Linked DNA regions of Coturnix japonica. The protein of the gene in region 2 interacts with the protein of the main gene of each other region in a pairwise test. Links are inferred from orthologs where the notes say so. Each region holds a gene or a part of one and is shown on either strand. Other genes may lie near its edges.

The links.
Region 1: the proteins of LNX1 (region 2) and DNPEP interact in a two-hybrid assay, tested with the Homo sapiens proteins (3 studies listed by BioGRID and IntAct). The link is inferred for Coturnix japonica from reciprocal best matches to the Homo sapiens genes LNX1 and DNPEP.

What each region holds. Positions count from the first base shown.
Region 1 is NC_029522.1:24,542,919-24,549,210, reverse strand, and holds the start of DNPEP (aspartyl aminopeptidase), read left to right. Parts: upstream 1-2,587; 5' UTR 2,588-2,609; coding exon 2,610-2,615; intron 2,616-2,731; coding exon 2,732-2,813; intron 2,814-2,884; coding exon 2,885-2,973; intron 2,974-3,056; coding exon 3,057-3,170; intron 3,171-3,352; coding exon 3,353-3,478; intron 3,479-3,587; coding exon 3,588-3,718; intron 3,719-3,956; coding exon 3,957-4,041; intron 4,042-4,502; coding exon 4,503-4,610; intron 4,611-4,842; coding exon 4,843-4,920; intron 4,921-5,223; coding exon 5,224-5,304; intron 5,305-5,561; coding exon 5,562-5,722; intron 5,723-5,843; coding exon 5,844-5,883; intron 5,884-6,225; coding exon 6,226-6,292.
Region 2 is NC_029519.1:59,282,746-59,288,302, reverse strand, and holds part of LNX1 (E3 ubiquitin-protein ligase LNX), read right to left. Parts: intron 953-5,557; coding exon 696-952; intron 1-695.

The sequences.
Region 1 (6,292 bases), on a different chromosome or scaffold from region 2:
GGGCTTGAGGGACGAGAAGGAGAAGATGGAAAAACATACAGCATCCTTCCTCCCTCTGCCCCCCTTCCCTGCTCTGACCGTGCCCAGTTCATCTCTGACCCCATGCATCAGCCCGTGGCTGAGATGCGAAGGGGCACACAGGTCCCCACACCAGCACAGCCCCACTGCTCAGCTGTCCCTTCCTGTGACTCTATCCTGCTGCTCCAGGTCAGGGTTGGGGTCAACACACTGTGTGTGGGGAGTGGCTCCCAGCATGGCGCTGACCCCCCTCTGGAATGCACTTTCTGAAGTGGCCTTTCCTTGGCCGCCCTACAGCCTTCCGGGACAGAGCAGTGCAGAGTCCCTGCATTTGGCATAGGGCCGACAGAGGGACAGACGCCTCTTAGGAAATTCCCTTCCCCACGGTTCAGTAAGGAGGCGGGAGGAGCGGGAAGTGGAGGTGTGGGCAAATGGGTCCTCAGCCACGTGCTGGGTTTGTCCGACTCCACAGCACTGGGGACAAACTTAGCGTGGTCCCTCCAGTTGTGGACCCAAGCGATATCCCCCACCACGCTCAGCATCATTCGGCTCCAGCCCAGGCCATGCTGACCCAGACGGAGCCTGGGAACGGGGCCCCAATCCCCAGTGCTGGCTTGGCCCCAGCTCCCGCAGGGCCCCGGGATGAAGGCATCGGGAGCCAGAATGTCAAACAACGCCGTGAGCCAAACCAGCTGCAACCCGCAGCCGGCCCTCCTCCATGGCCCTCCCTCCCTGCTGCTCCCCCAGGATTTAAGGCACGCGGGGATCCGGGCACAGCCTCCCTGGGGCTGCGGGCACTGGGGGCTGCAGCCAGGCGGGATGCAGGGATGGGGCACCAGCTGCCACTGGGTCTCGTATCACAGTGCTGCTGGGCAGGTCCAGGCCCTGCCTGGCCTCCTCCTGATGCGGGTGAGAAAGGAGCAGCCAGGGTGTCCCCCCCACTTTGCTGGCCCCCGGCCGTCTCCCTCCATCCCGCTCCTTTTACAGACACGAGCCTCCGAGGCGCCTTTACCCTAAGAGGGAAGGAGCAGGCGCCTGTTCTCTTAGGCGCGTGCTATTGTCTAAATAGGAGATCACTCTTCCTCCGTGCCTGGAGTGCAGCCCAGCCAGCATACTGGGGTCCCATGGAGCCCTGGGTGCCCCCAGAAGCCACTGTTTGCTGCTCCCTTCATGCTGTCAGCATGGGCACACAGCAGCCCCAGTCTACATCCCTCCTGCCCCAGGATTAGGGATGCTGGGGGTGGCTGCTTGTCCTTGAGTGCCATGGGGATGCTGGGGGTGGCTGGCTGACCCCAAAATCCATATGAATGAAGGGCATGGCCCCCTCAATCCATGTGAGTTGTCACCTGTTGATGTGTTGTCACCTTCATCCATGGGGACATTGTGGGGGCACTTGTTATGGCCCAGTGAGGATGCTGGGAGACAGCCACCTCTACGCCCTGTGAGGCTGCCTGCACCCATCAGCCACATCTACTGTGACCCATGGGGATGCAGAGATGTCCATCTGTGTCACAGGCCGTGGGGATGCCCACAGCTGTCCTGGCAGCCCACAGAGATGTGGGATAACTCGCCACCCTCACGGCCCAGAAGGATGCTGTGTTGTCCATCTCCATGGCCTCGATGGCATCACCCATACCAGTGAGATGAGGCAGCTCCCGTCCCACCGCATGGCTGGTGGTTGGCGTAAGGGCGGCCGTGCGCTCAGCCTCCAGCAATGCGCGGCCGCTGACTTCACTTTCCCATGCAGCGACACGTGTCCTGGGGTGGGGGCTCGGCAGCAGTCGGGTGCCATCCCTGCTCTCATCCCGGCAGGGCGGGTGCCTGGGGGGAGAAAGGGGCGGCCCTTCCCGGAGCTTTGCGCATCCATCCTGGCCGCCTGGCCCTTAACCCCTTCCAGCGGGGCTCAGCTCCAGCCGCACGGCCCTATAGCCACGGGAAGGGGCACGGCACCCGTGGGCGCACTCAGGAGCCCCGTGGTGGGACACGAGGGTCCGTGCCGCACTGAGCGCTGCAGGGTGGGGCAGTGATGGGGCGGCAGGTGCAGGGTGAGTCAGGGAGCACCCAGGAATAGCCGCCGGCAGCTTTTCCAGGAAGCCCCTGCGGCTCTGGGAATTAGCAGCCGCGTGCCAAGGCGCTGCCCTTTGCCCACTGCAGCGGGGCCACACCCGGCCCCGCCACTCACCCCGCACCCCCGGCACCCCGATCCCATACTCATCCATTGGGGACTAAGCGAGCACCCCCTGCCCTGGGGGCCCGCAGCTGATCCACATACCCCGAGCCCCCCGAGCCCCCCGGCAGGAGGCTGCAGGCCGTGGATACGGCACGCCCTGTGTTTAGCTGTGATGGCCGCGGTTGGCATGGAGACCCCCCAGCTGTCCTCTGGCTGTGTGCCCGGCAGGGGGGCCCGTTCCTTTTTATTTTATTGAGGGGTAAGGCAGGTGCTGGGCTGGGATTCAGGGCTGCCGGGGTCACGGCAGCCGGACCACCAGTTTCCAGGCCCAGATTCCAGTTTCAATGTGCCACCAAGGTCTCGCTTTGACGGGGGGTCAGAGAGGGGGGAGAGCGGGAGGGGGGGCGGGGCGGTGGCGGCCATGCAGGTACCGGGCGGGCGGCAGCGGAGCACGGGGTTGGGGGGGGGGTTCGGTACCGGGAGGGATGGGGGGGTTCGGGGAGCGGGGCGGCTCCCGGCTGAGCCCGGTGTGGGTGCCCGCAGGCGGTGGGTCCGAAGCAGGCCGTGCAGGCGGCGGCGCAGGAGCTGGTGAGGTTCGTCAACCGCGGCCCGTCCCCGTACCATGGTAAGAGCCCCCCCCGCCGCCCCTCTACCGGCTGTAACTGAGCCAGCCGTCTGACCGGGCCTTCCCCGCAGTGGTGGCCGAGTGCCGCAGCCGCCTGCTGCAGGCCGGCTTCCAGGAGCTGAAGGAGACCGAGCACTGGGACATCCGCCCCTCCTGCAAGGTGGGACCGGGGCTGGGGGGCACGTGGGGAGCGCGGCTGTCACGTCCTGCTCCGTACACCGCCCCCCTTCCTCCTCCCCGCAGTACTTTGTCACCAGGAACTACTCCACGCTCATTGCCTTCGCCGTCGGGGGTCGCTTCCAGCCGGGGAATGGGTTCAGCCTGCTGGGGGCACACACCGACAGCCCCTGCCTCAGGGTGAGACCTTCCCGATGCCTTATTGCTCTGACATCTCCCTGTCCCCCCCTGCAGGGTGCTGACTCCCCGCATTGCTCCACTTTTGCGTTCCCCTCCCTACCAAGCACTTCAAGGCACGCTGGTGGGCTCTGGGCATGCTCTTCCCGGTCCCAATCCCTGGTGTCATCTCTGCATCCATCCAGGTGAAGCGACGCTCCAAGCGAGGGCAGGTGGGCACGGTGCAGGTTGGTGTGGAGACCTATGGAGGAGGCATCTGGAACACATGGTTTGACCGTGACCTCACTGTGGCAGGAAGGGTGATCGTCAAGGTGAGCCCGGCTGGGGGCTGTGGGGTAAAACACGCTGCTGCTCCTGCCACCTCTGAGTCCTGCAGACCTGGCCCAGTGAGGCAGCTTAATGGTCCTGCTGGTATTTCAGGAGCCAAACACAGGGCGACTGGAGCAGCGGCTGGTGTGTGTGGAACGGCCCATTCTCCGCATCCCCCATCTGGCCATCCATCTGCAGCGCAGCATCAATGAGAACTTTGGACCCAACACCGAGCACCACCTGTAAGGCCTGGCTCGATCCTCACAGCTGCAGCGGTGCCCAGCCCCTGTTCTATCCCTCATTGCAGTGGGGTGGACAACAATGGCTTCACTTATAGTGAAGGGCTTGGGGATTAGCACTGGGGTGTCCTAAGGTGGCACAGTAGGTCTGTGCTTTAAGTTTAGAGTGTCCTTGCTCCATTCAGCCAGTCCCCAAGGGGTAAGCAATGGCCTGGCAGCTGCTGACACTGTCTCCCCACAGGGTTCCCATACTGGCTACTGCTGTGCAGGAGGAGCTGGAAAAAGAACCATCCACAGAGCGCACAGCTGGCGTTGCTGCAGCCCAGGTGAGTGGGTTCCTAAGGACAAGGGGGAGGCTCACTAAGGTCTCTCACATGCCATCTTTTGATCTCTAGTCCTCAGAGCTCCCTGCCAGCAAGTTCTCGTCCTTCCCATTCACAGCTACTTGCTCTCAGCTCCACTCAGAACCACTTACACAGCACATGTGCTCCACTGTTGTCTGTTCCCACCCTAGCCTGCATTCATCCTAAAGAAAAGTGGAAATCCCCCATAAAGCTGTCATGTATGGCCCCCCCTTTTCTCTCAGAGGAGGGAGGGGAGGTTGAACAATGGGAGAGAGCCCCTCACTATGCCCTGTGAGCACCACTGCTGCCCTTTGTGGGTTGAGTGCTCAGATGCAGAGTATGTGAGTAGACAGGAAGCCTAGGACTGCAGTGTGAGGAAGGAATGGGAAAGTTTCTCTGCCATCCATCACTTTGCACTGCCCACAGCTCTGCTGTTTTCCCAGACAGAGAGACACAGCCCTGTCCTGCTTTCCCTGCTCTGCTCCCAGCTGGGAGTGAAACCAGAGCAGATTGTGGAGCTGGAATTATGCCTGGCGGATACGCAGCCAGCGGTGAGTACAACAGAGCCTCCTTCTACCTGTATGCAACATGCCTGCAGGCTGGCACTGCCCAGCTCCCATGCACAGCACGCTTCCTCTGCCTGGGGCATGCAGGGCTGGGAGCTGAACCGACTGAAAGGAAATGCCTTCTAGGGGGCAGAGGTGGGGACTGGGCTGGAGACACATCACACCTGCTCTTTGTTGTCCCCAAACCTGTGCCCTACTCCTTGTTCTTTGACTGCAGACTCTTGGTGGTGCCTTTGATGAGTTCATCTTCTCCCCACGTCTGGACAACTTGCACAGCTGCTACTGTGCTCTGCAGGTGAGAGAAGGAAGGAAGGAGCCTTGGGGCTTTGTCATGGCCCTCTTGTGTCTTGACTTAGCTTTGCTGGTCTGTTAGCTGGGTCCTGTTGCAGGGATCCTTGCTCGTCAAAGGGCCTGGGGTTGGACAGTGGCTGCCCCCTTGTGCTGGGTGTGTGGCATTCCTAGCATCTCCAATGTACCCACAGCTCCTTTCCTTGGTGCCTTAGACTTTCCTGGGGATGTTCCAGCCAGTTCAGTGCTGAGCTTCCTAGGATGGGGTGGCACTTACGCTAGTGCTCCTTCTCCTCCTCTGTCTCTCCAGGCACTGATTGACTCGTGCACAGCTCCCTCCCTCTCCCAGGAGCCCAACGTGCGCCTCATTGCACTCTATGACAACGAGGAGGTGAGGGGCATAGCCGTGGGGCAGCTGGCACACACAGGGGCTCTGTGTTCTGTTCTCCTTCCACCAATGATTAGGACTTACATCCCAGCCACCCATGGAGCACCATAGGGTTTGCTCACCCCACCCTGGGCCTGGCAGGGAGTGAGTTGGAAGCCTCTTTGCTGGGTGTGGGGAGCTTGCTATCCCTCAGCTGACATGGAGCGCTGGAGGTGGCTGGGGTGTTGCTGGGTGGGTTGTGCTGATGGTCTTCCTGGCAGGTAGGGTCAGAGAGTGCGCAGGGTGCCGAGTCCCTTCTGACAGAGCTGGTGCTGCGTCGAATCTCAGCATCACCACAAAACCTGACAGCCTTTGAGGAGGCTGTGGCCAAGTCCTACATGATCAGTGCTGACATGGCCCATGCGGTGCACCCTAACTACGTGTGAGTACTCTGAACCCTGCCACGTTGCACGTGGGGACGCATCTTTTGCACTCCTGCTGGCGTAGTGGCAGGACAGTTCTTGTAATGGGGATTGCAGCATGAAACTCCTTCTCTTTTGCAGGGACAAGCATGAGGAAAATCATCGGCCAGCCTTCCACAAGGTGAGCGCAGCCTTCTGCTTTGTGCCAGACCTGCTGCCATCTGTCTGTTCAGCAGTGAAACACACAGACACTGCCCAGAGTGCAACTTGGCAGCAGTTTCACAGGAGACCTTTGTCCTGCCACACAATGCACTTGTGCCACATTGCTGGAGTTAATTACATAGAACCACAGCCCTATCTGTGGACATCTCCCTTGGCTTAGAGCTGGGGCTGTTCACTTGTAGGATCCAGGGGGTGGCACAGCATTTCTGACTGTGGGTCTCTCCTGGGCACTGGGCACTTAGAACTATGTAAGTAATAGAGTGTGTCCCTGTGCCATAGCTCTGCATCTTCTCTTTCGCAGGGCCCTGTCATCAAAGTGAACAGCAATCAGCGCTACGCCTCCACAGCTGTCACTGAGGCAGTCATCC
Region 2 (5,557 bases):
CATTTTGTTTAATCTTCCTTCAGCCCTTCATCCATTCTCCCAGCACAGAGCTGGTGCAACACGAAGCTTGTGAAATACAGTTTTGGCTTCAGAGAACACAAATACAAGATTTCACCTCATTGTTAATACTTCTGTGTCAACCATATTTTTCAGTCACAATGCTCATCAGAGCCAGCTGATATACTATGCCACAGGGTGAAGAAACAAGGTGAGGAGCATATTGAAATAACTGTTGTTATTTCAGCAGGAACAACAGTTCTAAAGTGCACCTCTCTGGGAGTCTGGCAAACACTCCCCAAGCTCCCAGAAACCTCTTATCATCTGTTTTACTGTAAATACTTGTCAACAGCCAAACATGGTACCCATAAGATTTCTGCATAGGTGCCCATCACATAGTCTGTAGAGTCTACTTCGGCCATCATGTTTTGTTGAAGACACTGCTGCACCATCTCCCTGGCACTTCACAAACCCCAAAGGAGCTAACTTGCCTAATAATCTTTCTTGAGACCTCCAATTTGCCTGTGTGCAAGCCTTCAGATTAATGTTGCCCCTGGGTAAGAAAATTTGTTTTTCACCTGAAATATATTGGGTCAATGAAGGCCCATTTGGAAAAACCATTTAAAACAACATCATCCACCAACACACATTTCACAGAAAACAGATGCTGGAAGAGTCCACCAGGCTCCAAAACCAACCATTTGGGTCCTTACTTCTGCTGTGGTTGCTGCTGTGCAGGTCCCTGGGGCCACTACCCGACTGGCTGTCCTCCGAGGTGGGGCTGAAGGCTGGGTTCACCAGCCCCGGCTCATCGGTCATTAAGGCGATGGCTGCAGCTGCAGAGAGCTCAGGGCTCAGAGCAGCTACTGCCAGGCTGGAGCTGCGGTCTGGGGAGCAGTCCTGGGAACGCCGCTTCCGTTCCTTGGTAAGGCCATAGTGGGATGCTCCTTTGCATCTGTGGAGAAGGTAAGGAAAGGAGATGTGATTACAGACTGTACTGAAATGTTGCCTAATTATGGAGATTGGCCAGTTCTGAGGAATTACTCAGAATGCAAAATGTGACTGTCACCCTGATCTCAGCTCTGGTCAGCCTGCCTGGTCACCATGCAGTGACACCAGGAGCCTGGTACCACACTCTTTCGTCCTCTCCAATCTCAAGGCTGGTTCTAAAACAATTCCAGGGAAAAATCCAGCTCCTAAATTCTGACCTGGCTTTAGTAATGATAAAATCCTCCATTTCTGATGGAGAGGAGTGTACTCCCAGATATAACCAACTTGTGACCCCAGCTGTCTGCTCTGGGCTCATCCCAGACAGCAAGAATGGGACAATGCACGGCATTTCCTTCTCAGACTTCCTAAAGACCATCACTCCAAGTAAATTAAAGATCGCAGTGCTCTTCTTGGTTCAATATTTAATTAAGGCTATAAAACAACCAAAGAGACAGAGTGGCCCAAGGAGACAGCACCTGTGACTTCTCCTCCAGCCCTGTGAACCCCCTAGAACCTCATTTACAACATTAGAACAGAATCCACCTTTGAATCGTGACCTAATGAGCTCGGCCTACTATTTGCTGCTACAGTTCTCTCTTTTTTCATAGCAGAAGCTAACTGATGACTTTCATAAAAATACCCTGCAGGACAAACTCACAGAAATAGCTGCAGAAATCCTTAGGGATAGAAAGCTCTTCGTAATATATGGCATGCACAAAAGGCAATGCATAATACATACCGTACACAGTGCTAATGGGTTAAGTGTCAGAGAAAAAGTAGTATGCTGAGTAGAGGTCTTAGGAGAGAAATGATTTATGGAAGCAGTGCCTGGGACAGAAAGATGAGACGAGGATGAATCGCAGAGCTCTCTGTGTCAGCTTAGGAGCAGTGACTTAAATTCTCTTGCAGTATTTGCTTTTTAAGAGGGAATTAAATTAACTTTTTAAAGCACCGAATTATGATTTACCATCACTTACCTCATACCACTTTGGATAACTTCCCTCTCACAGAGGAAAAAAAACCAAGCTGTATCACACTGATGCAGCTGTGTGGGAGCTTTGTACATGCTTTAAGCTTTGGATGGGAATGCCTGTGGCAGAAGCTATTTCTAAACCCTTTCATAAGCAAAAAGATACATCTCAAAAGAAAATACTCCCTTGTGGAAAAGAGAGTTGCTTGACTATTTCAAAAGATCAACAAGATCTGTTCCAAGACAAGGCTGTGAGAAGGAAGGGAGGAGCCCTCCTGCCCCCATTGCAGTTCCTTCTCCCATAAACACGGTATAAATTCACCACTTGCTTGAGCTCTGTCAAGCTGTATGTTCACCAGAACCTTGTTGCTGGGGAGTCATTCCTGTGAATGAATCCTAAAAGGCAGATGCTTTATTATTTTCATTGGGTTGCATGAAGATGAGCATGAAGCATCTCCTGTGTAACTAGTGACAAGACTAGAGTAGGCCTTAAGTTGCACCAAGGGAGGTTCAGTTGGATATTAGGAAAATTCTCTTCTCTGAAAGAGTGGTCAGGTGCTGGAATGGGCTGCCCAGGGAGGTGGCTGAGTCACTGCCTCCAGAGATGTTCAAGAAACATTTAGATGTTGTACTAAGTGATGAGGTATAATTGAGGAATACTGGTGGTAGAGGAATGGTTGGAATAGATGGTCTTGGAGGTCTTTTCTAGCCTTGATAATTCTATGGCTCTATGATCAGAAGGGGCTTCGTGCAAAGATTTCTCCATACAGCTGGAGGGTCCAGCTGCTATGGGTGCCCATCTGCTCAGTGCGGCTGACTTCACTTTTCCATGCAAATATTCCCTTGCTGCTGCTGGTGCTACAGACACCTGGTCACCAGCATCTGTCCAACTGCAGGAGAAGCCTTTGAATGCAGAGAGGACTGATGGAGTTTAAGATGTGGCTTATTGGAGAAGACAACTTATCATGACACAAAACACAAAGCATATCTTTCTAATTCTGCCAGAAATAGTTAAAAGAGAAGCAAAGCTCTTCAAGCATAAGCACTGAATCTATTTCTTAAATAACTGTGGCAGGAATAAATGAACACAAGACAAGCCTTCTTTCTTCAGATTAACACAATGTCCTTGAAGAATGAAAAAAGTCCTCAAACTTGTAATAAAATCTGCAACAGCATCTCTTCACTTTCATTGTTTTCCTTGTGCTGACACTGCTGTGATAACAGAAAACAGAAAGAGACAACTGTCTAAGTGGAATCATATTTATAGTGTCTCAGCTACATTTTTCCATATGGTTGGGTTTGGCTCCCAGAAAAGAAAGATCCATAAAACAGCTACATGCCACTACTAATTATCTCCCTCACTGTGATTATTAATCAGCTGCCTGATTTACAGCTGGAAGAGAGGGATGGAAATCCCAGCAGGATACCTGACTAACGGGGGGCAGCCCTAGAGTGAGCCCAGTGCTGTCTGGTGGCCAAGGTGAACTGCAGATTTATGTTCCTTCTCAGTTGCTCTGGACAGAGCATAATTCCACGCAGCTGCCTGATATCAAAATGATTTGAAGGCCAAAAGTGGGAGATAAAAACAGACATGAAAAATGCAGAGTACAGCCCGTGACATCCAAGTAGCGTCTCTAGGTGTGCATGAGAAATCTGGAAAATGGTTTCTTCTGTTTGCACAACCTCTTTTGTCAAGCAGCAACATGCCATCTGAAATACTGGCTGCATGATGGTTATCCTCTGCTTAGGGAAGAATTGCTCCCTCCTGCTGTGGCAGCAAGTCCAGGAGGGACTGGAGCCACAGCTCTGATCACTTACTCCATGGCCTCTGATAAAACCCAGGCCAAAACAGCTTCAGTATAATAGCTCCCTTCTGATCTTACGTTGCAAAAAGCCTCCCACAAACTGATCTTGGAAGGCCATAGTGGCTGTTGAACCTTCACCCGGTGCAGTAGACTTAGCTGCGGGTTTACCATGGCTGTGCCTGGCTCTGCATGCGAGGGGTCCTGTGGTCCCATCCCCAGGGGCAGCACGTCCCAAGTGAGGACTGAGGGATCCAGAACCACATGTCTGCCTTAACTTGGTCTTACTGCTTATCAAAACAAACTTCTGCCAAACCCACAGCCAACAGAAACATTTCCAAGTTATTGCAAATTCAAGTGAAAGAAGCAGTTTTAAAACAAGGATGCATTTCCCCTGCAAAATCCCTAACTCACATTGTGGAGCAAGAAGAGATGCAAAGTGAAGGACTTCCATCACCCTGGTGGATGCAGGAGTGAAACATTAAGACAAACAAGGGAAACCTGACAGACATTTCAATTCTAGTGATGAAAATGCACATCTAGTGATAAAAATATAACACCTTTTCTCTCCGATAAACACTCTGCCTTCCGTCTGTGCCACCTCTCAGGCCAGCCCTCCCCAGCTCACAGCTGACTGTCCAGACAGGGGCTGGCAATGGCTCTGGAGCAGCAGCAGCAGCGCTCAGCCATGCTGTGCTACAAGCAAACGGAGCAGCGGCGGTACCCGCCCATGTCGCACCGCTCTTTCCTGACCTCACTCCCGTCGTTGTCTTGTTTTGGTACTGTTTTGTTTCAACGCAGCTGCGGCGGACACATTGTCTGAGTGCAATTAAGAATAATGTATACAAAGTACTCACGAAAATACAGCATAATGGGCTGTCATCGCTGATCCCAAGCTTGGCCCTGATTAGGGCAGGCAAGTATGTTTCGGCTATGCCCTCGCTGCAAGCAGTCTCATCCTTGTGTAATTTGGGCTCCATACAAGCCAGGATCGGGGTACCAACAACGTGCATCATACCCTGACTGCATCATACAGCCCCCTGACTGCTACTACTCCCACATGGATCTGTCAGAAAGGCTGATGGAGACACTGAAGGCCACCAACATCCCCATAACCCTCCTTGTGAGGCTTCCTGATGTGAACCTGCTGAGAGGTCCATACCTTACCTGTAAGGCAGAAGGGATCTGAAACACTGTGGCTGCCTCACAAAGAGGTGCTGGCAGTTCCTGCCCCACAAGGACTTGTTCACACATTGAAAGACTGCAGCTCAAACATAACCCAAACACCAACCACATGGGCTTCAGGCCCAAAGCCTAAACTCTAAAGCCGTCCAAAACTCCATCCTAAGCAAGTGACTTGGTTGGACCCCAGGCAGAGCTCACTCCGACTCTCCTCATCTTACTTGTGACAATAGCACACCAGAAACCAGAGCCAAAAATGAAAGAGGAGTGAAAAACATGAACTCCAGCTGAGTCTGGAGTTACATACACATCTAAATGAAAAGGTAGCAAATGCGTATCTCAATTCCAGCCCAAGAACATCAGGCCAGAAAAATCAAAACACTGAACAGTGAAGGTGACCAATACCTGCTGCTCTGTGCACCCAATGGTGCTGTATTGTCCTTGCTCAGAGATCTGTAAAAGCTGCATCTTATTATGAAACTAGAAACAGGCTCTTTTCTACAACAGCACCCAAATTTCATAGTAATGCCAGCAACATTTCCAGATGCTCACCACTGCTGTGCTGTGCACTCCTTATGCACTTGGCTGTCCTCTTTCTGATGGCCACCTGTATCAC